Callithrix jacchus: one gene and its partners. The protein of the gene in region 1 interacts with the protein of each later gene in a pairwise test. Links are inferred from orthologs where the notes say so. Each region holds a gene or a part of one and is shown in the gene's direction. Other genes may lie near its edges.

Region 1 (3,513 bases):
AGATCACTTGAGGGCAGGAGTTCAAGATGAGCCGAGGCAACGTAGGAACACCTTGTCTCTACAAAAAAATTTTAAAAATTTTAGGCTGGGTACAGTGGCTCACGCCTGTAATCCCAGTACTTTGGGAGGCTGAGGCAGGTGGATCACCTGAGGTCAGGAGTTTGAGAGCACCCAGGCCAATTTGGTGAAACTCCGTCTCTACTGAAAATACAAAAATTAGCTGCGTGTGGTGGTGCACACCTGTAATCCCAGCTACTTGGGAGGCTGAGGCAGGAGAATTGCTTGAACCCAGGTGGGGAGGTTACAGTGAGCCGAGATCATGCCACGACACTCCATCCTGGGCGACAGAGCCAGACTCTGTCTCAAAAAAAACCTTTTTTAAAAGTTAGCTAGGTGTTAACGGTGTGCACCTGTAGTCCCAGCTACTTGGGAGGCTGAGGTGGGAGGATCACTTGAGCCTGGGAGGTCAAGACTGCAGTGGGCCATGACTGTGCCACTCACTGCACTCCACCCTGGGTGACAGAGTGAGACTGGCTCAAAAAAATATATATATATAAAATTTAAAAATTAAAAAATAAATTTTTAAGGAAAGAAAATGAGCTGGGTGTGGTAGTGGCACCTGTAGTCCCAGCTACTTGGGAGGCTGAGGTGGGAAGCTCGCTGGCGCCCAGGACTTGGAGGCTGCAGTGAACTATCCTGGCACCACTGTGCTCCAGCCTGAGCGGCAAAGCATGACCCTATCTCAGAAAAAAAGAAAAACACTGCCTCCCACTTCATTGAAGGTGCCATCAAGACACAGAGTTTCGTACACCACCAAGAAAGAGAAAGCTGGACTCTGCAGCTCTCAGGAAAAGCCAGAGTCTTTACTGTGGTCTTAAAGGCCCAGGTCATCAGGTTCTGCTGCTGACACTTCCCCTCACTCCTCTCCTGCCTCAGTGGCCTCTGGCTGGCCTTGGGCATACCTGAGCCGTGACCTCCGTGCTGTGGCCCTTGCTTTTCCCTCTGCTTAGAACATTCTCCAGGAGGCCTCAACTCCTCAGGCCTCTGCTCAGCCTTCGCCTTCTCAGAGAGGCTTCCCTGGTGCCCTGGTCCTGTCCACCCTCACCCCACAGCGCCTGCCCGTTTCTGCTGTGCTTTCCCATGGCAGCGTCACTGGTGGCGTGCTATACATGTGTGCATTGCCTTTCCCCTGGTCTGGAGTTGTAATGCATTCTGTGAAGCCTCCTTTTCTTTGTTTCCAGCTGCTGTGTCTCTGGCACCCAGAACACAGCCTGCTTACCTGCTGAGCAGTTGTTGAGGCTGATGTTTCTGTAACTCTCATTCCACCTTTCCGTAGCGCACAGGCGACACCAAGCCCAGCTTCTTCCAGGACTGCCTGATGGAGGTGTTTGACAACCTGGAGCAGCACATCCAGAGCCCTCTGGTGCTGCAGTCGATCCTCAGCCTGATGGAGAGGGGCACCATGGTCCTGACCACCAACTACGACAACCTGCTGGAGATCTTTGGCCAGCAACAGAACAAGCCCATGGAGTCTCTGGACTTGAAGGACAAGACCAAGGTATGGGCTGGGGGCACGGGTGGGCTGTGAGTGTGTGGAAGCACCTTTCACTTTATCGCAGTGTGAATTAATACTAGAGGATCCAGGTGTGGTGGCGTCTGCCTGCAGTCCTAGCTACTGGGGAGGCCGAGGTTGGGAGGATTGCTTGAGCCCAGGAGTTCCAGGCTGAAATGAGCTATGATCATGCCATTGTATTCCAGCCAGCCTGGGTGACAGAGAGACCCTTTATCCTAAAAAAAAAAAAAGTAATAATGGAAGGTGGCACACTGGCAGCCTCTGGAATACTGTGCTCCATAGGAAAACAAGATACTAGGACTTAAAAGTCTGAGCTGGCCTCTCCCCAGGGCAGGTGGGAAATGATGGGGCAGTGTTCTGTGCATCCCAAGACTTCATATTTCCTGCTTTTATTTTTTATTTTCAGAGATAGGGTCTTGCTGTGTTGCTCAGACTGGAGTGCAGCGGCACAATCGTAGCTCATAGCGTAATTTAGGCCATTCTTATACTGCTGTATAAGAAAGAGCTGAGGCGGGCCGTGGTTGCTCAGGCCTGTAATCCCAGCACTTTGTGAGGCTAAGGTGGGTGGATCCCTTCAGTCCAAGAGGTCAACGCCAGCCTGGCCAACATGGCAAAACCCCGTCTTTACTAAAAATACAAAAATTAGCTGGGCATGGTGGTGCACGCCTATAATCCCAGCTACCTGGGAGGCTGAGGCAGGAGAATTGCTTGAACTGGGAGGTGGAGATTGCAGTGAGCCGAGATCACTGCACACCAGGGTGGGCAACAGGGCGAGGCTGTGTCTCACAAAGCAAAAGAAAAAAATACCTGAGACAGGGTAATATATAAAGAAAGGAGCTTTAATTGGCTCCGCATTCCACAGGCTGTATAGGAAGCATAGCAGCATCTGCTTCAGGGAGGCCTCAGGAAGTTTCCAGCAGTGGCAGAAGGCAAAGTGGGAGTAGGCGTGTCACATGGCCACAGCGGGTGGTGGCAGGGAGGTGGCACACACCTTTAAATGATCGGATCTCTCAAGAAGTCACTATCACGAAAATGGCACTAAGCCGTGGGGGGTGATCCGGCCCTGTGGTCCAAGCACCTCCTCCAGGCCACGCCTCCAGCACTGGGGATTACAATTCAGCATGAAATCCGGGTAAGGTGAATGTCCAAATTCTATCAGTTATAACACCACAAAGTCCTTAGACTTTTATGTCCCTCTGTTTTCAAGATCAATTCCTAGAAGAGTTTTGTGGTCAAAAGCTATGAGTATTTTAAAGACTGATGATGTAAATTACCAAATTGTTTTCCAGAAAGTACCAGCTGCCTTCCCAGTGGCTGTGTACGGGAGTACCCATTTCCTGTATCTTGCCAACACGTGGTGTTATTAAAAACAAAATGAAATAAACTTTGTCCATTTGATAGGTGAAGAGTTTAAACATTGATTTCTTGTATTAAGGTTGAGCATAGTTTCGTTGTGACCATTTCTTTTGTGATGTGCTTGGGACCTTTGTGCGTGTGCTTATGTTGTCTGGGCTGACTTGTGAGAGAAGGCCCTGGCCCTGCTCTGGACAAAGAAACTGAGTTACGCAGAGATGTCGTCTCAGCGTCAGTGCAGGGGCTGGGCTCAGCTGCAGCCCCGGTCCCCTTGTGCCCGGTGCGGCGCCCTCCCGGGACGGGCATCCACTCCTGCCAGCAGTGCCTTGGGGCAGACACCTGCGCTCTGTGTCTGAGCCACACGGTCCCCTCTGCTGAGGCTTGTTGTGGTCAGTGTCTGGAAATGAATGGCCGGTTGCATAAACAGAACTGCCAGCTGGCTCAGCGCCCAGTGATGGCAGCGGGGCTGTTGGTGTTTGTGTCCATTCTGCCTGCTGCTGTGTGGGCCATGGAGTGAAGATGACTGGGCATTGACCTGCTGGGCATCTTTATATTGAACGGAAAGGAACATGCTTAGCCATTCAATA
Region 2 (4,207 bases), on another chromosome or scaffold:
GGCAGAACTTGGGTCTGGTTTAGGAACACTTCTTACCCCCCTAGGGCCTGAAAACATCTTCCAGTTTTATTTCAGAATTGCTGTGGACCGTGATTGTTCTGTCTCCTCCTCTTCTCTTTTTCACGTTGAGGTATTCATTGTGGTTATCTGGCCCATCATATGTTGAGTGCATGGGAGAGAAAATGCATCTTTTTAGTTTGTAAGTCTCTGGATCAAGAGGAGCTGCACTGGACAAGCCAATCTAGGACAGACAATGAGATCCTAGATTTTGTGCCTGATGTTGGGATTGGAAGAAGCTTTTGGGGATCTTGGGAGGAACACTGGAAACCAATCACAGTTTGGGTTGAAAATATCTCTCCTGTTTGGAAATTTTAAGGCATTTTTGGCTTGTCTAAGTGCACAGGTTAAGCAGGCTTACTTCCAGCAACCTCAGACTTGACCCCACCTATGTGACACCCACACCCATGACCACATCTTGGACTATTTTTTAATTTTTATTTTTTTGAGACAGTCTCGCTTTGTTGCCCAGGCTGGAGTGCAGTGGGGCAATCTCAACTCACTGCAACCTCCACCTCCCGGCTTCAAGCGATTCTCCTGCCTCAGCCTCCTGAGTAGCTGGGATTACAGGCGCGCGCCACTTCGCCCGGCTAATTTTTATTTCTAGTAGAGACAGGGCTTCACCATGCTGGTCTCGAACTCCTGACCTCAGGTGATCTGCCTCCCTTGACCTCCCAAAGTGCTGGGATTACAGGTGTGAACAACGGCTCCCAGCTCATTCACTTCTTTTTTTTTTTTTTTTTTTTTTTTTTTTAAGACGGAGTCTCACTCTTGTCATCCAGGCTGGAGTGCAATGGCATGACCTCGGCTCACCACAACCTCCGCCTTCTGGGTTCAAGCGATTCTCCTGCCTCAGCCTCCCGAGTGGCTGGGATTAAGGCGTGTGCTACCAGGCCCGGGTAATTTTGTATTTTTAGTCGGGACGGGGTTTCTCCACGTTGGTCAGACTGGTCTCGAACTCCCGACCTCAGGTGATCCGCCCGCCTAGGTCTCCCAAAGTGCAGGGAGTACAGGTGTGAGCCGCCGCGCCGGGCCTCATTCACTTCTTGAAGGATCATTTTTACCAGCCATCAAGTAGCTATCAGGTCCTACGTCTCTCCAGCTACGGCGGACAAAGATCCCCGTCTGGAGGAAAGGACGAACATTAGGCAAGCACTCGGAATCGCGCGAAGTGCACGCCGTCAGATCGCCATGGTGAGTGAGCGGCCCAGCCCGAAACACCGACGGCCACCAACCGCAAACGGGAGGACGGTCACAGCACCTGCAGCGCACGCGCAAGGCAGGCTCTTCCGTGGGGGATACGTCATCTCTCGGCGTCTACGCGTGACGTCACCGGCGGCCGCGGACAGGAAGAGGCTCTGGGGTGGCACATGTGTATGGCGGCGCGGCGGGCGGGTACATGGCGGGCTCTGTGGGACTGGCGTTGTGCGGGCAGACGCTGGTGGTGCGGGGCGGCAGCCGATTCCTGGCCACCTCCACTGCAAGCAGGTGAGGGGGCCTTGGTCTTGTCACAGGGAGCCCAGGCTGCGGGCGCGCGCCGGGCCCTGACTACGCGGCTTCTCCCGCACTGCCTGATCGCACCTGCTCTGGGGTGACCCAGGGGAACCCCGCTCCAGCCCAGGAGCCCTCCGCCGCTGTCTCTACCTGGCCGCGTGTCCGGGAGTGGGGAGATAAGCCAATCTAGGAGAGACCATGAGATCCTAGATTTCGGCGCCCCATAGGCCCCGGCGCGCTCCTCGCCCTAGTCGGCGAGTCTGCAGTGTTCTCGCCCGGTTAGCGCCAGGTCACTTCCAGTCTCGGCGGCGCCGGCGGGGATCCTGACCGCTTGGCAAGGCCGGGCCGAATACGCTGTGAAGACCTGGGAAGAAGGGGGTCTCGGGTTTCCCTGATGAGAGGGGCGGGGCTTACGACGAGCTCGCTGACCCCCGAGCGGGCTCCCTCTCTTTGCAGGGGTGCTTGTCCCCTCTTCCCGGCCTGCAGCCACCTACCCGGCCTTAATTGCTCCTTAGGACTCCCGGGTCGTCTCTGACACTTACACAACAGACCCGAGGCTGCACGTAGAGCTCGCAGCTGCCCCTCCCTAGCGACCCTTCACATGGCTCGAGTTTTGCTTTCTGTAATTTTATTCTCCATCCTTATTGTATCACCAGTGCTAGGACGACGCCGGGGATTTTTAAATTAGTAAATGTTTGTTGATGGGACAGTCCCGACTTAGGACTCTCGGAGCTATTAGTAGTGTTGTCAGTTTCAGCCGTCATTTTCTTTCCCAGGTGGTTTGTGATTTAATACTTGAAACAGATGCTGTGTCTGTCAGATGTACTTATATTCTTTGCTTTCAGAAAGCCAATTCGATGTTAAATTAGGTCTTACAAAAATTGTACTCAGAAACCTGTCATGTATCCAAGATAATGTTGCTTTAGAGACTCACGGTCTAATACCTGCCCAGAGTGAGCTGTGGATGCGTTAGACATGATGTGCTTACCATCAGTCTACGCATTTTGAGGAAATTCTAGCGGCTGGTGGAGTTTCCGACTTGGAAGACAAGTCCACTGTTCCATATGGAAAGTTTTTTGGTGCACTTTAAAGGCTATAAATAAGTACAAGCTACGTGCCAGGGTAGGGGATGGGATAAACTGAAGAGAGTTTAGATTCAGTATGGAAGATGGGTGATTGTTATGTTGGTAAGTGCTTGGAGTCATGGGAACATTTTCAGGTAGGTGAGATGCGTTTCTGAATAGGTAATGGCTCTTTGAAATTTGTATAGAGAATCCCACTGAAAACTCAACAGCATCAGAACATCGCTTAGATTTTCTGGTGCCTGAAGGAATAGCATAAGAATAACGTTATTAATTCCTGTTGAGTGTTTACCCCTCGTTTGTTTTACTGATTTTTTTTTTTTTTTTTTTTTTTTCTGAGACAGTCTCACTCTGTCTCCCAGGCTGGAATGCGGTGGCAGGATCTTGGCTCACTGCAACCACTGCCACGCGGGTTCAAGTGATTTTCCTGCCTCAGTCTCCCGAGCGATTCTCCTGCCTCAGTCTCCTGAGCAGCTGTAATTACAGGCACCCACCACTGCGCCTGGCTAATTTTTGTATTTTTAGTAGAGACAGGGTTTCACCATCTTGGTCAGGCTGGTCTTGAACTCTTCACCTCGTGAGCCACCCACCTCAACCTCCCAAAGTGCTGGGACGACAAGCGTGAGCCACCCGCCTGGCCTGGACTTTTTTTTCCCACAGAACTATTGGGTTGTATATGATATACTCCAATAAGAGATTAAGCAACTAAAGTTGTTAACTGTTCCCTGAAACATTATATCTAGACAGTTTTCTTGTCATGGATAAGACCTTTAATGAATATGCAAATATTTTTTGATCTACAGAGAAAAAAAATCTTTTTTTTTTTTTTTTTTTTTTAAACAACGTTCTCCTTTAAAAATCATTGTTGCTGGACACAGTGGCTGATGCCTATAATCCCAGCACTTTGGGAAATGGAGGCAGGTGGATCGCCTTAGGTCAGGAGTTCGAGATCAGCCTGGCCAGTATAGTGAAACCCCATCTCTACTAAAAATACAAAAAATTAGCTGGACATGGTGGTGGGCGCCTGTAATCCCAGCTACTCGGGAGGCTGAGGCGGGAGAGTCACTTGAACCCGGGAAGTGGAGGTTTCAGTGAGCTGAGATTGCACCATTGCACTCCAGCCTGGGTGACAGAGTGAGACTGTCTCAAAAAAAATTATAAAAACATAATTTTTGGGGGGTGGGGACTAGGGGAGGGGTAGCATTAGGAGAGAAGTACCTTATGTAGATGACAGATCGATGGGGACAGCAAGCCACCATGGCACGTATATACGTATGTAACAGACCTGCATGTTCTGCACATATACCCCAGAACTTAAAGTGTAATCATTTAAAAAAAAAGTATTGTGAATAAAAGATTATTCTAAATTAAAAAAAAATCATTGTTACTTCTCTTTAATGATGACGCCTTTTAAAATCATTGTTATTTACCTTTAGTGATGACGGCCCCTTCATCTATGACTGCAGTGCTGCAGAACAGAAGCCACAAGAAAATAAAGGGTGAGATGTGGGCCTGATTTAATGGTTTGATAACGGGACCAGAGGGTCTAAGAAGCAATTGTTGTCTTACTTGCT
Region 3 (4,128 bases), on another chromosome or scaffold:
GGCACAATTATAGTTCACTGCAACCCGAACTGTTGGGCTCAAGCAGTTCTCTAGCCTCAGCCTTCCCAGTAGCTATAGGCATGCATCCATCATCGTACATAGCTAATCTTTTTTGTACAGACAGGGTCTCACTTTTTTACCAGGTTGATGTCAAACTCCTGGCCTCAAGCAGTGCTCCTGCCTCAGCCTCAAAGTGCTGGGATTACAGGTGTGAGCCACCGTGCCTGGCTGTGTGATTTTTTTAAAACATGTCTGTATTATTTTAATTAGTGTTAAGTAGATTTTAATCATGATATGAGGAACTATAATATAGAAATTTTGATCTTTAAAACAAAAGGGATGTAATACATTAGCACTTGCAGGTAGGTATATGAAAGGGGTGTTTTGGGGGGCTTTCTTGTTTTTGAGACAGGGTCTTGCTCTGTCATCCAGGCTGAAGTGCACTAGCAAGATCACAGCTTACTTCAGGCTTAACCTTCTGGGCTCAAGTGATCCTCCCACCTCAGCTTCCCAAGTAGCTGGGACCACAGGTATGTATCACCAAGCCCGGCTAATTTTTTAAAATTTTGTAGAGATAAGGTATCACTGTGTTGCTCAGACTGGTCTCAAACTCTGGGCTCAAGCCATCCTCCCACCTCAACCTCCCAAAGTGCTGGGACTACAGGTATGAGCCACTTCACCCAGCCTTACAGGAGGTTTTGAAAATGAGGCATCCAAGTTTTTTTGTTTTTTGTTTTTTGAGACGGAGTTTCGCTCTTGTTACCCAGGCTGGAGGGCAATGGCGCGATCTCGGCTCACCTCAACCTCCGCCTCCTGGGTTCAGGCAATTCTCCTGCCTCAGCCTCCCGAGTAGCTGGGACTACAGGCGTGCACCACCATGCCCCCACCCCACTCCAGTCAGGCCCTGCCTCCGCTGCCACGACAGTTCCTCTAACCCTGCACTATCACGGCCTGCATCCTTCGCGGCATCCTGCTACGTCTTTTCCACTGCTGTGTCCTAGATAGCTGGCGCTCAATAAATACTGACTGGGTGAATAAATGAGAGACACTGTCCTTTTAGGGATGGATGGATCAGTCCTGGTCAAGGCAGTGACCTTCTTGTATTTCCTAACACAAGCTTGACCCGAAGTAGACGTTTTGAAAAAGGCCGACGGTCGATGGAGGCCAGCGCAGCGCCCCTCTCACCTCCTCTTTCCGTCCAGGCAGGGTGACCACGGGCTCAGGCAAAGGGAAGGAGGCGGTGCGTCTGGCTGCGATCCGGCCCAGAGGGGGCGGGGCCTCCGGGACCGGGCTTTCAACGCGCACTCTCGGATGCGCAGCGGAACCCGCCCTCCGAGCCCAGAGAGGCGCTGCTGCCACTGCCGCCTTACCGCCGCCGCACCGCTGCCGCACCGCCGCTGCCTCAGTCATGCCGGTGAGTGGCTACGCTGTCCCCGCCGCGCAGACTTGCAGTCCCCGGCTTGCACCTTGGCTGCACAGCCGTTTGGCTGGATGCTCCTCTTGAAGGGCTCAGGCCTCGACTGGAGCTGCTATTGTCCCCCGGCTTACCCCACCCAGCCCCCAGCTTTTGCGACCCTCCAGAAAATGGAATCCGAAGGGAGTTTAATCTAGGAGCCAGGCTTCAAAACGTCGGAGCTAGAAGGCCTCCAGGGGGCGACAAGCCCACGCCTTCCCTGCGTACACGGAGAAACAGACCCCGAGAGAGGGCAGGGGGTCGCTTAGCAGGAGGCGGGAGGTTACAGACGGGCAGGAACTGAGACGCCTAGTTCCTGAGCCTTCCTCCTGGCTGCCCTGCCCGCGGAGCTGGCCTGAATGAGGGTGGTGGGGAGGCTCTGGTCAAGGGGTGGACCCGGTTATTGCCTCACGGACCTGGCAGGTTTTCAGAGGTTTATGCTTTTCTTCATTTCCCTGCCCACTCTGGCCTACTTTCCAGGTCAGCTGTGGGGGACCCTGAATGGAGACACTTTCTCAGCCTGAACCCATAAGCCCCAAAGAGGTTCAGGAACCCCCCGCCAAGTCACCAGTTGCTCAATGGCAGAGTCTGGGAAGTCAGTCTTAGCCTGCCTTTGCAGATCACTCAGTCTTATCACACATACCTTGCTGCTCATGGCCTCATTTTTTATAAAAAGAATTGAGGCCTTTGGCAGATGAAAATATAAAAAGCCCAGCAACTTATTCCAGGTCGTGTTGAAGTTGGCAGAGCCAACTTATCCTTAGGCTTCCCATCTCTCCAGCCTGGTCACATGGGAGGGGCCTGGCAAAAGCGGTCACACCGGCTTGGGAAGAAGCTCTGATCTCAGTTACATCTTGGTTAGGGTCATGTGGTGTTTTGCATTTTCTTCAGGGTGCCTAACTCATGGCTTTGGGTCAGGTGGATACCCAGAAGTATCTCACAGATGCAATCTATCTTAGCAGCCTGTCTTTTGGGAGCTGGCAGGTGACTCTGAGGTCCCCTGGGCAAAGCCACAAATGTCTCAGGTGTCATTTCCCTTGAGCCTTGCCAGGTGCCTTGAGACAAATCCTCCAACAACAAAGTATGGACAAGGAATCTGATAGAATCAGCCCTACCAGTTGAGCAAATTGGCCTGAGGCAATGGTAGAAGACAGTATTAATTGCCCTGGGGCTGGGAGAGTGAGGCCACCAGGTTTTTTGGTGGGGGGTGGCAATGAGGAAAAGGCCAGCTTGATGATCACTGTATTCTGTGTATTTTTCTGTGGATTTTGACAAACAAAAGACCCTCTGGAGCAGATGATGGGAATGAGGAGGGCACTTGGCACCATGTACCACTCACTAGATGAACAGCTGAAGGAAGGAGGGTGTTAGTCAAGGGACTGCCTCAAAACTGGAAAGGGAAGAAAATATATATATGTGTGTGTGTATGTGTATATATGTGTGTGTGTGTGTGTGTGTGTATAATTGGAAGAGTGTGTTACCTGAGAGTTTTCTCAAATGTCTGAGAGCACAGGGTTTGGAATCCCAGAAACCTCTGAAAATCTGTGCCCCCAGCTTGCCAACTGGGTGACCTCAGGCAAGTTGCTTTACCTCACTGCCTTGATTTCCTCATCTGTAAGATAGGGACAAAAACTTTAAGTTCACAGGACTGTTGTTAGTATTAATTGGAAAAATGCCAGTAAAACATGTCACCCAGCCACTGACATATCTAGTCCCCAAGAAACGGTAGCTCCTGTGTAGACGCAGGACAAATAGGCTAGAACTATAGGCAGATAAAGCCAGGCACAGTGACTCAATGCCTGTAATCCCAGCACTTTGGGAGGCCCAGGTGGGCAGATCACTTTAATGCAGGAGTTTGAGACCAACTTGGCAACATGACAAAACCCTGTCTCCTCAAAAAATACCAAAAATGAGCTGGATGTGGTGGCCTGTGCCTATAGTCACAGCTACTTGGGAGGCTAAGGTGGCAGGATTGCTGGAGCTGGGGAGGTTGAGACTGCAGTGAGCCATGATCATGCCACTGTATTCCAGCCTGGGTGACAAAGTGAAAGAGAAACCCTGTCTCAAAGAAAGAAAAAGAACTATAGGCAGGCAGTGTTCAATCCCATTTTAACAAGATCTCACTGGTTAAGCATTGAGGTTTTAGAGACTGACTATGTCCAATTCAGTTCCTACTCCCTAGCTGAATCACTGCGAATGGTGAACTAACTCCAAAACCTGTTTTCTCATCTGTCAAGAAGGGATAATACTAGTACCTGCCTCATGAGATTGTTGTGACAATTAAGATAATGCATGTAGAGTGTTTAGAACAATGCCTAGCACATAGTATACATTCACATACTAATATTAGTAAACATTAGCGTGTTCAAGGATTGAATATCCTGAATATTTGAAAAAGAATTTCTCTTCTCGGGGAGACAGTCTGGACAAGATGACTCCCTCTTCCCCACCCTCCCAATTCTGAGATTCTATTAAAGAATTGTTCCTTGGGAGGCCGGGGCAGAAGGAGCATGACAAGGTCAGGAGTTTGAGACCAGCCAGACCAACATGGTGAAAGCCTGTCTCCACTAAAAATGCAAAAATTAGCTGGGCGTGGTGGCGTGCACCTGTAATCCCAGCTACTCAGGAGGCAGGTGAATCACTTGAACCCGGGAGGCGGAGGTTGCAGTGAGCCG
Region 4 (3,953 bases), on another chromosome or scaffold:
CCCTTCCTAGTATCCATGTATTCTCACTGTTTAGTTCCTACTTATAAGTGAGAATGTGCAGTATTTGGTTTTCTATTCCTGTGTTAGTCTGCTTGGGATAATGGCCTCCAGCTCCAACCCATGTTGCTGCAAAGGATATAATCTGGATTAATGATCTAGCATGTTCTCATCAGCAAACAGAAGTTCCAAACACAAAGACAGTCCAGCGTGCCATGGTAAATGTCCACCTCTGGCCTCCAGCTCTCCCCTACCTGCATCTGTTTACCTCCCACTCCTCCAGAGTGGCTTCTACAGCTCAGCTGTCTGCTTTGGGCTTCCTACAGTAGAAGGCCTCCAATCTTCCCTCCCATTCCAGACAGAGCAGCCAACTGGGCCTGGGCCTGGGGGCCACAATGTGCATTGAATGCTGGTGGGATATCTGTCTGTCCTCGAAGGAACCCAGGTGGTAGGGAGAGCAGATCAGATCTTGAGTGGTTTGAATTTGATCAGAAGGAAGGAAAGAAAGAAGGTATTCTAAAATGGAAGAGCTGGGATAAATGTTGGAGGTAAGAAATGGGGTGACTCGGTGAGGAGCAAGGAGAATTGGCCCAGCCTGAGCAAGGTCCCCTCCCTGGTTGAGGAGATGGAGTCTGTGATTTGAGCGCTCTTCTGTGCCTGTCCCACAGGGGTGATGGACTCAAGTCGCTCCTGATTCCCAAGGCGTTCATTCATTCCTTCACTCACTCACTCACTCACTCACTCATTCATTCATTCAAGTGGGTTCTGAATCCTATCCAAGGAGCTAGGATATGGGAGTGGATAGGACAGCCCCTATCCCTTATTGGGTCCCGGGACAAATGTGACCCACTTGTAGGAGAGCGAAGGAACCACCCTATCTAGCAGCTCTTGTTTCTACTCCAGAAGGAGCCTAACTTTTTCCCATTTTACAGTCTGGGAACCTGAGGCTGCCTCCTTGGTGGAGGTCCAAGGAAGCACCAAGAGTGGGGGCAGCTCAGTCCTTGTCCAAGGGGAAGCTGGGAGCACAATATGGACTTTATGGGAAGGCGGGGGCGAGTGAGTCTGTGTACTGGGGTGGGGGGGAGTCCCCTTTCCCCGCCCCGTGGCAGCGGCGTGGCGGGGCTGGGGCGGAGCTGGCGTCGCCCCGGACGGGAGGGCGGCAGGAGAGACGTACGGACAGGCAGACCGGCGAGAGAACAGGCACGGCGGGACTGGCAAGAGGAGGCGACCCTGTGGCCGGGAATGTGACCCCGCGGACAGAGGAGGACCCGTGAGAGTGCGCTGTGCCCTCGCGGCCCTGCCGCGCACCCCGCCCGCCTGGCTTCCACTTTCATTTCTTCGGTTGTCCAGGCGTGGCACGGTCCGGAGGCGAGTCCCGCCCGGAGGCTGGCTGGCCGCTGTCCTGGGGCTGGGGTCCGAGGCTCAGAGCTTCGAAAGTTGGGGTGGGTTTGGGGTTGGACGGGGCAGAGGGGAGAGGTTGGGGGGCTTATCTTCGGGAGCGGAAATGTCAGGCGGGATCCTCTGGGTCCTACGGCCTGCCTGGCCCTGGGAGCTGGTTTGGGGATGGGCGTGGGTGAGAGCGTGGAGTCTTCGCCTCTACTTTTATCTATGATCTCTGTCCTGCAGAGCGTCCCAGGCTGGATTCTGGGTTCAAACCAGGGCCATCCTCTGTCCCAGATCCTGGGTCAGGCCCAAGGAGAGGTAGATGTAGCCTGTCAGAGAGCTAAAGGTCAGAAACAGGCAGGGTCACCCTGCTGTCTTCATTTGAGAAGCCCAGATGCCACCCAGGGAATGAACAAGCCACTGCCACTACAGGAGTGAAAGGATAGCCAACCTTGGGAAATGGGGGTGGGGGGAACCACAGTGGTTTAGGGAGGAGACAGGAGTTCGTTCTGTGACAGACCGAAACTCAGTGAGGGCATGGAGGTGGGACTGAAGGGAGTTATGCCTGTGGCTAGAAGAGCACCTGCCCTCCACCCAACCCCTGAGCTTACATTTTCCAGGGAAGAGAAAGTTTCACAGGAGTAAGGTGGGACACTAGCTCATTGGTCAGGACATCCCAGTTGCTGTGTGGAGTCAGCATATTGGGGGCAGGAAGCAAGCTGGGCTGTTTGGTGGAAAAGATGCTTCCACTGTCCTTCCACTCCCCTCCTATCTGTCTCCACCAGACCATTGACCAGCCAGTGCAGGAAAATGGCCTTTTACTCTTGGTCATGAGCCAAGCCCCAACTTATCCCAGTTACCAGTTCTGCTTGTAATTTGCTATGTGAACACAGGCTCCTCAAGTCCTGTTTTTAGACCTCAGTTTCCCCATCTGGGCCTCAGTTTCCCCATCTGTACAAGTGATTTGGGCCAGTTGATCTCTCAGGACTATTTTAACTCTAAGATTCTAGAGTCTAAGCTTTCCTTAAAGCATAAATACTGACTTTGCGGCAGGCCTTTTCCTAAGCTGGGAGTAGGGATGGAGTGGAAACTGCAATGACCGAAAGCAGCCTCTACCCAAGGAGGAGGAGATCCGAGTTCAGGAGGAGGCTGTGGGAGGAGGTAGCAGCCAATCTGAGGATGTGCGGTCAGGCAGGTGAAGGGATAAGAAAACATCCAGAGGCAAGAGAGTAGCGGTGTGTTCAGGAATCAGGAAGAAGCCCAGGGTGGTTGGCGTGGGAGGTGGGAAGTGGGGCAGGAAAGGTAGGACAAGGTGAATGCCAGAATGGGGGACTGTTTCTAACTATTGTAAAGGGGGCCATGCGATGTGGGGAGGAGCCCCACCTAATTGCAGTGTAAGGGATTTTGGAATAACTTGTCCCAAGCAGAGTTTAAAATGGAGATGGCAAGTGAAGTGCAGAAATCTTTTTGCTCTAGAAGCTCGGGTCCCACTCTGGAGACTTCTTTGGGTGAGAAGTTGAAGAGTCAGGTTGGATGAGATGACCTTTCAGATCTGTGAGGTTTTTTCAAAAGAGCAAGTTCCTGCTGAAAGGCCTGTTTCTACTCTCCAGGCTGCTCTCATTTTACTAGAGTGCCCCATCCTGGCCTGCCTTTGTGGGTTCAAGGAAGGACCTTTGCTTCAAACATCTCCCCAGCTACTTTGACTTGTTGCCAGTACCCTCCCTGCAATATGTGTCATGCCTTTGGTTTTACCCAGTTGTCACCTGGTTCCCACCCTCCCTTCCCCAGTTCTATCCCAGGGTTACCAGAGATGTGAGAAAGGACAGTACTCCAGCATCAGTCAGAGGTCAAGGCTAGGCTTTTTCCCTGGCCATATGCAAGCCTCAGGGTAGAGCTAAAGGCTAAAGTCAGGGCTCACACTCGCCCCAGCTCAGGTGTCAGAGGTCAGCCTGGAACCAGAATGCAATTTTAGCTTATACTCAGCCTTAGTGCTCATTCTGGGGGCAGGGGCAGTGCTTAGTTTGTGACTAAATTCTAGTCTTTGTAGGTACATGGGTCTGCATTTCCTGGTAGCTCACACATTCACAGGTGAGATGAGATGACTCAGGCTTAGAAACCTAGCTATAGCAGAGTGAGCCAGGACTTGGGTGGACCAAATCCATGGTGATAACAGGCGTCACCTGGTAAGCCAGTGACAGAGCTGGAACTGGAACCCAGGATTCCTGCCTCTGAGCCTAGGGCCCTGATCACTGTCTCCCTAAGTCTGTTCTGAATCTGGGATCCTTAAATTCTAGAAGGCAAAGCAAATTTGCCTGAGCTCTAGATGGGCCCCGCTGGGTAGATCTGACTATACTCTCCTACCTCCCTGTGCCAGGCACATAGTAGTTGCTCTAGGAATGTCTACTGAGTGTCAGGTGCAAGGGGAGGAGCCAGTGGCTTGTTAGATTTGGGGCTGGAAGAGACTGGCTTGTGGGGGAGGATCTCCAGTCATTGTGAGAGGAAGCAGTGCCCTTGTAGGCCTGCTGCCCTCCCCCTCCTCCAGTGCTTGCAGCCACACTCAGAAGCCGCCCAGC
Region 5 (3,513 bases), on another chromosome or scaffold:
TGTCTTATAGTTTGACAAATACTCAGGTACCCATGGTGTTTTTAATTAGCCTAAGCTATTTTATCATAAATTATGTTTTTGAACATTGGGGAACATTCTAAGGTGTCCAAAGTAAGGTGAGGAGAGTGGAGAGAAAAGATAGATAGGCTGGGCACAGCGGCTCATGCCTGTAATCCCAACACTTTGGGAGGCTGAGGTGGGTGGATCACCTGGGGTCGGGAGTTCAAGACCAACCTGACCGACATGGAGAAACTCCATCTCTAGTAAAAAAATACAAATTTTGCCCGGCATGGTGGCGCATGCCTGTAATCCCAGCTACTTGGGAGGCTGAGGCAGAAGAATCACTTGAACCCAGGAGGCAGAGGTTGCAGTGAGCTGAGATTGTGCCATTGCACTCCAGCCTGGGCAACAAGAGCAAAACTTTGTCTCAAACAACAACAACAACAGATAAATAGAAAAGTCATCTCTATCATACATAACTCTTCTTCTCTCCAGCCAAAGTCAGGCAACCCTGGGTGTCTGAGGCTTTCACAGATGGTTTTTCCCCATTGCCAATGTTGGTCTCTTTCTGGTTGAGAAAGAAAATGGTTATGGACTTTGGTTCATGAGACACAGGACACATGGGCATGTGTCGTATTCGTGGCATTTCAGCCACTGCATGCAGCCCCTCAGTGCACAACTACACATCTCTTGCACTACAGGCAAGGCTGTCTGGTAAGCACTGAGCAGGTGTGAAAGAAGACTCTATAAAATATGGTTACTTTTTTTAACTTAGAAAAGTTCTCGATACTCATAAATGTTTTTGAAATGCTGACTCACTACTATCAGAAATAAATGGCTGACTTGAGAAATTTTGGGTGCAGTTCACTCTGTGTGTTTAAGATTCCTCCATGGCCAGGTGCAGGGCTCACACTTGTAATCCCAGCACTTTGGGAGGCCAAGGCGCCAGGAGTTCATGACCAGCCTGGACAACAAAGCATGACTTTGTCTCTACCAAAAAAATTTTTAGAAATCTCTTTTTCCAGGGGTTTCCAACCTGTTCCTCCCTCCATTTTAACTCTTTCCTTTTGAAATGTAAACTTTATCTGAGTTAAGCTATAGAATTTGTGACCATGTAACCCTATTATTTTTGGGGTGTGGATAAGGTGAGGGTTCTTTCCACGTGTCTTTCTCTGTCATTTCAAGAACCACCATCATATTTATGCAGCTTTGGTAGTTTTGCATGTAGAAAAAATACCCACTTTGCATTTTCTACATGCAAAAACTACCAAAGTTGTGTATTCATGTGCGGTTTTTCTGTCTGTGCCTTCAGCCCCTCCATCCTACAATTACTTGTCACGAGAAGGTGGTAGATATCCGAAAAGATCCCAGCGAATCTCTCGGCATGACCGTCGCAGGGGGAGCATCACACAGAGAATGGGATTTGCCCATCTATGTCATCAGTGTTGAGCCTGGAGGAGTCATAAGCAGAGATGGAAGAATAAAAACAGGTAAAAAGTAAAGGGGTTTTAAAGGCACCGGGGTGTCAGGGTATTAAGAGAAATTAATAGCTCATTGTGTTAGGCAACCATTTTCAAAATTAATGAGAGAATGTGGGAGTGATCAGCCAGGACTTTTGCTACCCATTGACCATGATTGGTTTGAGTATACTTACGAGACCAGGTTCCACTCTTCTCAGTCAACCCACCAAAGAACCACTTAGAATGAGTGGAACTCAATTATTACTTGCAAGTAAAGCTAGAATCTCCAAACTGTTCCAGGAATTAATAGAGAACTCTACGGTTATGAGCAAGTTGCCTCTATTAAATGGCATAATTTAGTTCCATTCATTCTAAGTGGTTCTTTGGTGGGTTGATCCAGTGATCAAACATGAATTATTCCATTATATGGGATAGATAGAGAACGCCATTTGATAGATTTGATTCAATGAATACTCATAAGTGAAAGTATCATGCTAGATTTCACTACTTTAAGCTCACGTGTTCTGGCCTACTTTGAGTAAATAAAGGAAGGTGATATCAAATTTGCCTCTACAAATATGTATCCTTAATAATATTGTCCATTCATACAAGAGGGTAGCTCAGATTAATGAGGAATTATACCATTTAAAAGTCCAGATTCAAGAGAGAAACTGTAGTTTCCCAAGTACAGTAGCTGAGTCTGAGGAGCTATCGGGAGATGGTATCTTAAGAGATTTAGTCAGCTGGCTGAAAGATGCTTCTTTTGGGTCAGAAAGGACTCAAGGCCTTTCTCTCCTCCTGTCTTTTTGCTCTTGCTACGATTATTCTGTATTAGAAAGATGATAAGCAAAGGGGGACACAGAAAACAAGATGGAGACAAAAGATTAGAAAGTGGAAATAGGGGAGATGTATATTTTAGTTTTTTCTGCAAAACACCTGGGTGGAGAATGATGAAGCCAAACAAAGTTGCTTGTCAGAATGACTTGTTAGCAAAACATGAGCTAGAGGATTATATGATCTGTATGGAAATGATCCCCCACTTGGTAGGTGCTTAACCAGTAGTAGCTGTTTCACCTTGACAATGAAAATGTTCTCCTTTAAGAGTGCAGCTCCAAGACTCCTCTGCCACACACTCTCATGGGTAGTTTCTTATTCATTCAATCCATATTTACTGGATGCTTTCTACCTGCCAAGCTCTGTGCAAATGCTGGAGCTTTTGCCAAATGTTTTTATGCTAAAAACAAGAAACAAAGGAGTGAAAAAGTAGGTTTTCTTTCATTAAATAGTGAACAGGGCTAATTTTCCTCTCTCCCTTCCTTCCTTCAGCAAGAGCTAAACACTGATAGGTGTGTTTTAGAAAACCCCAAACAAGTCTTAAAGCACTTCGGAATGCACACAGTGTTTACCATTTGCTATGTGAGCACCCAGCCTCCCATCAGCAAAGAAAACCTTTGCCCTCTCTGCATCCCTGTATCCCTGCATCCCAGTCGGCCCCTACCTCCTTGCACTTTAAGCGGAAGTCCTTGTTCATGCTCTCACTAAAGGTAGCTTCTACTTCTCTGGCCATCAGGTGACATTTTGTTGAATGTGAATGGGGTCGAACTGACAGAGGTCAGCCGGAGTGAGGCAGTGGGATTGTTGAAAAGAACATCCTCCTCGATAGTACTCAAAGCTTTGGAAGTCAAAGAGCGTGAGCCCCACGAGGACTGCGGCAGCCCAGCAGCCCTGGATTCTAACCACAACATGGCCCCACCCAGTGACTGGTCCCCATCCTGGGTCATGTGGCTGGAATTACCACGGTAAGTCCCAATGCAACATCCCTGTTAGGGGCGTGAGAGGAAACAGTTACATTTCTTAAACCACACTTTTACTTTCTAGGGCTGATTCATGGCACTAGCATCTTAATGAGACCCAATCTTGGTTGTGGGACTGTAAAATAAGTCTCTCTTCCTATTCGTAACAGAAAATGCATGTGGGCATTCTGGGGCAAGGATGAAAGCCTGGATGTGGAAACACTGTTAGGTGTTCAGGTTGAGGCGCTCACAGGGCTGCC

Evidence for each region.
Region 2: the proteins of FAM118A (region 1) and WDR4 interact in binary tests that used the Homo sapiens proteins (3 or more experiments, as listed by UniProt). The two-hybrid records come from large-scale screens. The link is inferred for Callithrix jacchus from reciprocal best matches to the Homo sapiens genes FAM118A and WDR4.
Region 3: the proteins of FAM118A (region 1) and ATOX1 interact in binary tests that used the Homo sapiens proteins (3 or more experiments, as listed by UniProt). The two-hybrid records come from large-scale screens. The link is inferred for Callithrix jacchus from reciprocal best matches to the Homo sapiens genes FAM118A and ATOX1.
Region 4: the proteins of FAM118A (region 1) and MOB3C interact in binary tests that used the Homo sapiens proteins (3 or more experiments, as listed by UniProt). The link is inferred for Callithrix jacchus from reciprocal best matches to the Homo sapiens genes FAM118A and MOB3C.
Region 5: the proteins of FAM118A (region 1) and LNX1 interact in binary tests that used the Homo sapiens proteins (3 or more experiments, as listed by UniProt). The link is inferred for Callithrix jacchus from reciprocal best matches to the Homo sapiens genes FAM118A and LNX1.

Annotation. Positions count from the first base shown.
Region 1 is NC_133502.1:214,651,441-214,654,953, reverse strand, and holds part of FAM118A (protein FAM118A), read left to right. Parts: intron 1-1,336; coding exon 1,337-1,558; intron 1,559-3,513.
Region 2 is NC_133522.1:48,644,297-48,648,503, reverse strand, and holds the start of WDR4 (tRNA (guanine-N(7)-)-methyltransferase non-catalytic subunit WDR4), read left to right. Parts: upstream 1-1,398; 5' UTR 1,399-1,456; coding exon 1,457-1,545; intron 1,546-4,069; coding exon 4,070-4,132; intron 4,133-4,207. UniProt on the Homo sapiens protein: Non-catalytic component of the METTL1-WDR4 methyltransferase complex required for the formation of N(7)-methylguanine in a subset of RNA species, such as tRNAs, mRNAs and microRNAs (miRNAs).
Region 3 is NC_133503.1:50,706,602-50,710,729, reverse strand, and holds the start of ATOX1 (copper transport protein ATOX1), read left to right. Parts: upstream 1-1,320; 5' UTR 1,321-1,408; coding exon 1,409-1,414; intron 1,415-4,128. UniProt on the Homo sapiens protein: Binds and deliver cytosolic copper to the copper ATPase proteins. May be important in cellular antioxidant defense.
Region 4 is NC_133508.1:83,363,050-83,367,002, reverse strand, and holds the start of MOB3C (MOB kinase activator 3C), read left to right. Parts: upstream 1-1,143; 5' UTR 1,144-1,439; intron 1,440-3,953. UniProt on the Homo sapiens protein: May regulate the activity of kinases.
Region 5 is NC_133504.1:143,227,757-143,231,269, forward strand, and holds part of LNX1 (E3 ubiquitin-protein ligase LNX), read left to right. Parts: intron 1-1,312; coding exon 1,313-1,490; intron 1,491-3,030; coding exon 3,031-3,259; intron 3,260-3,513.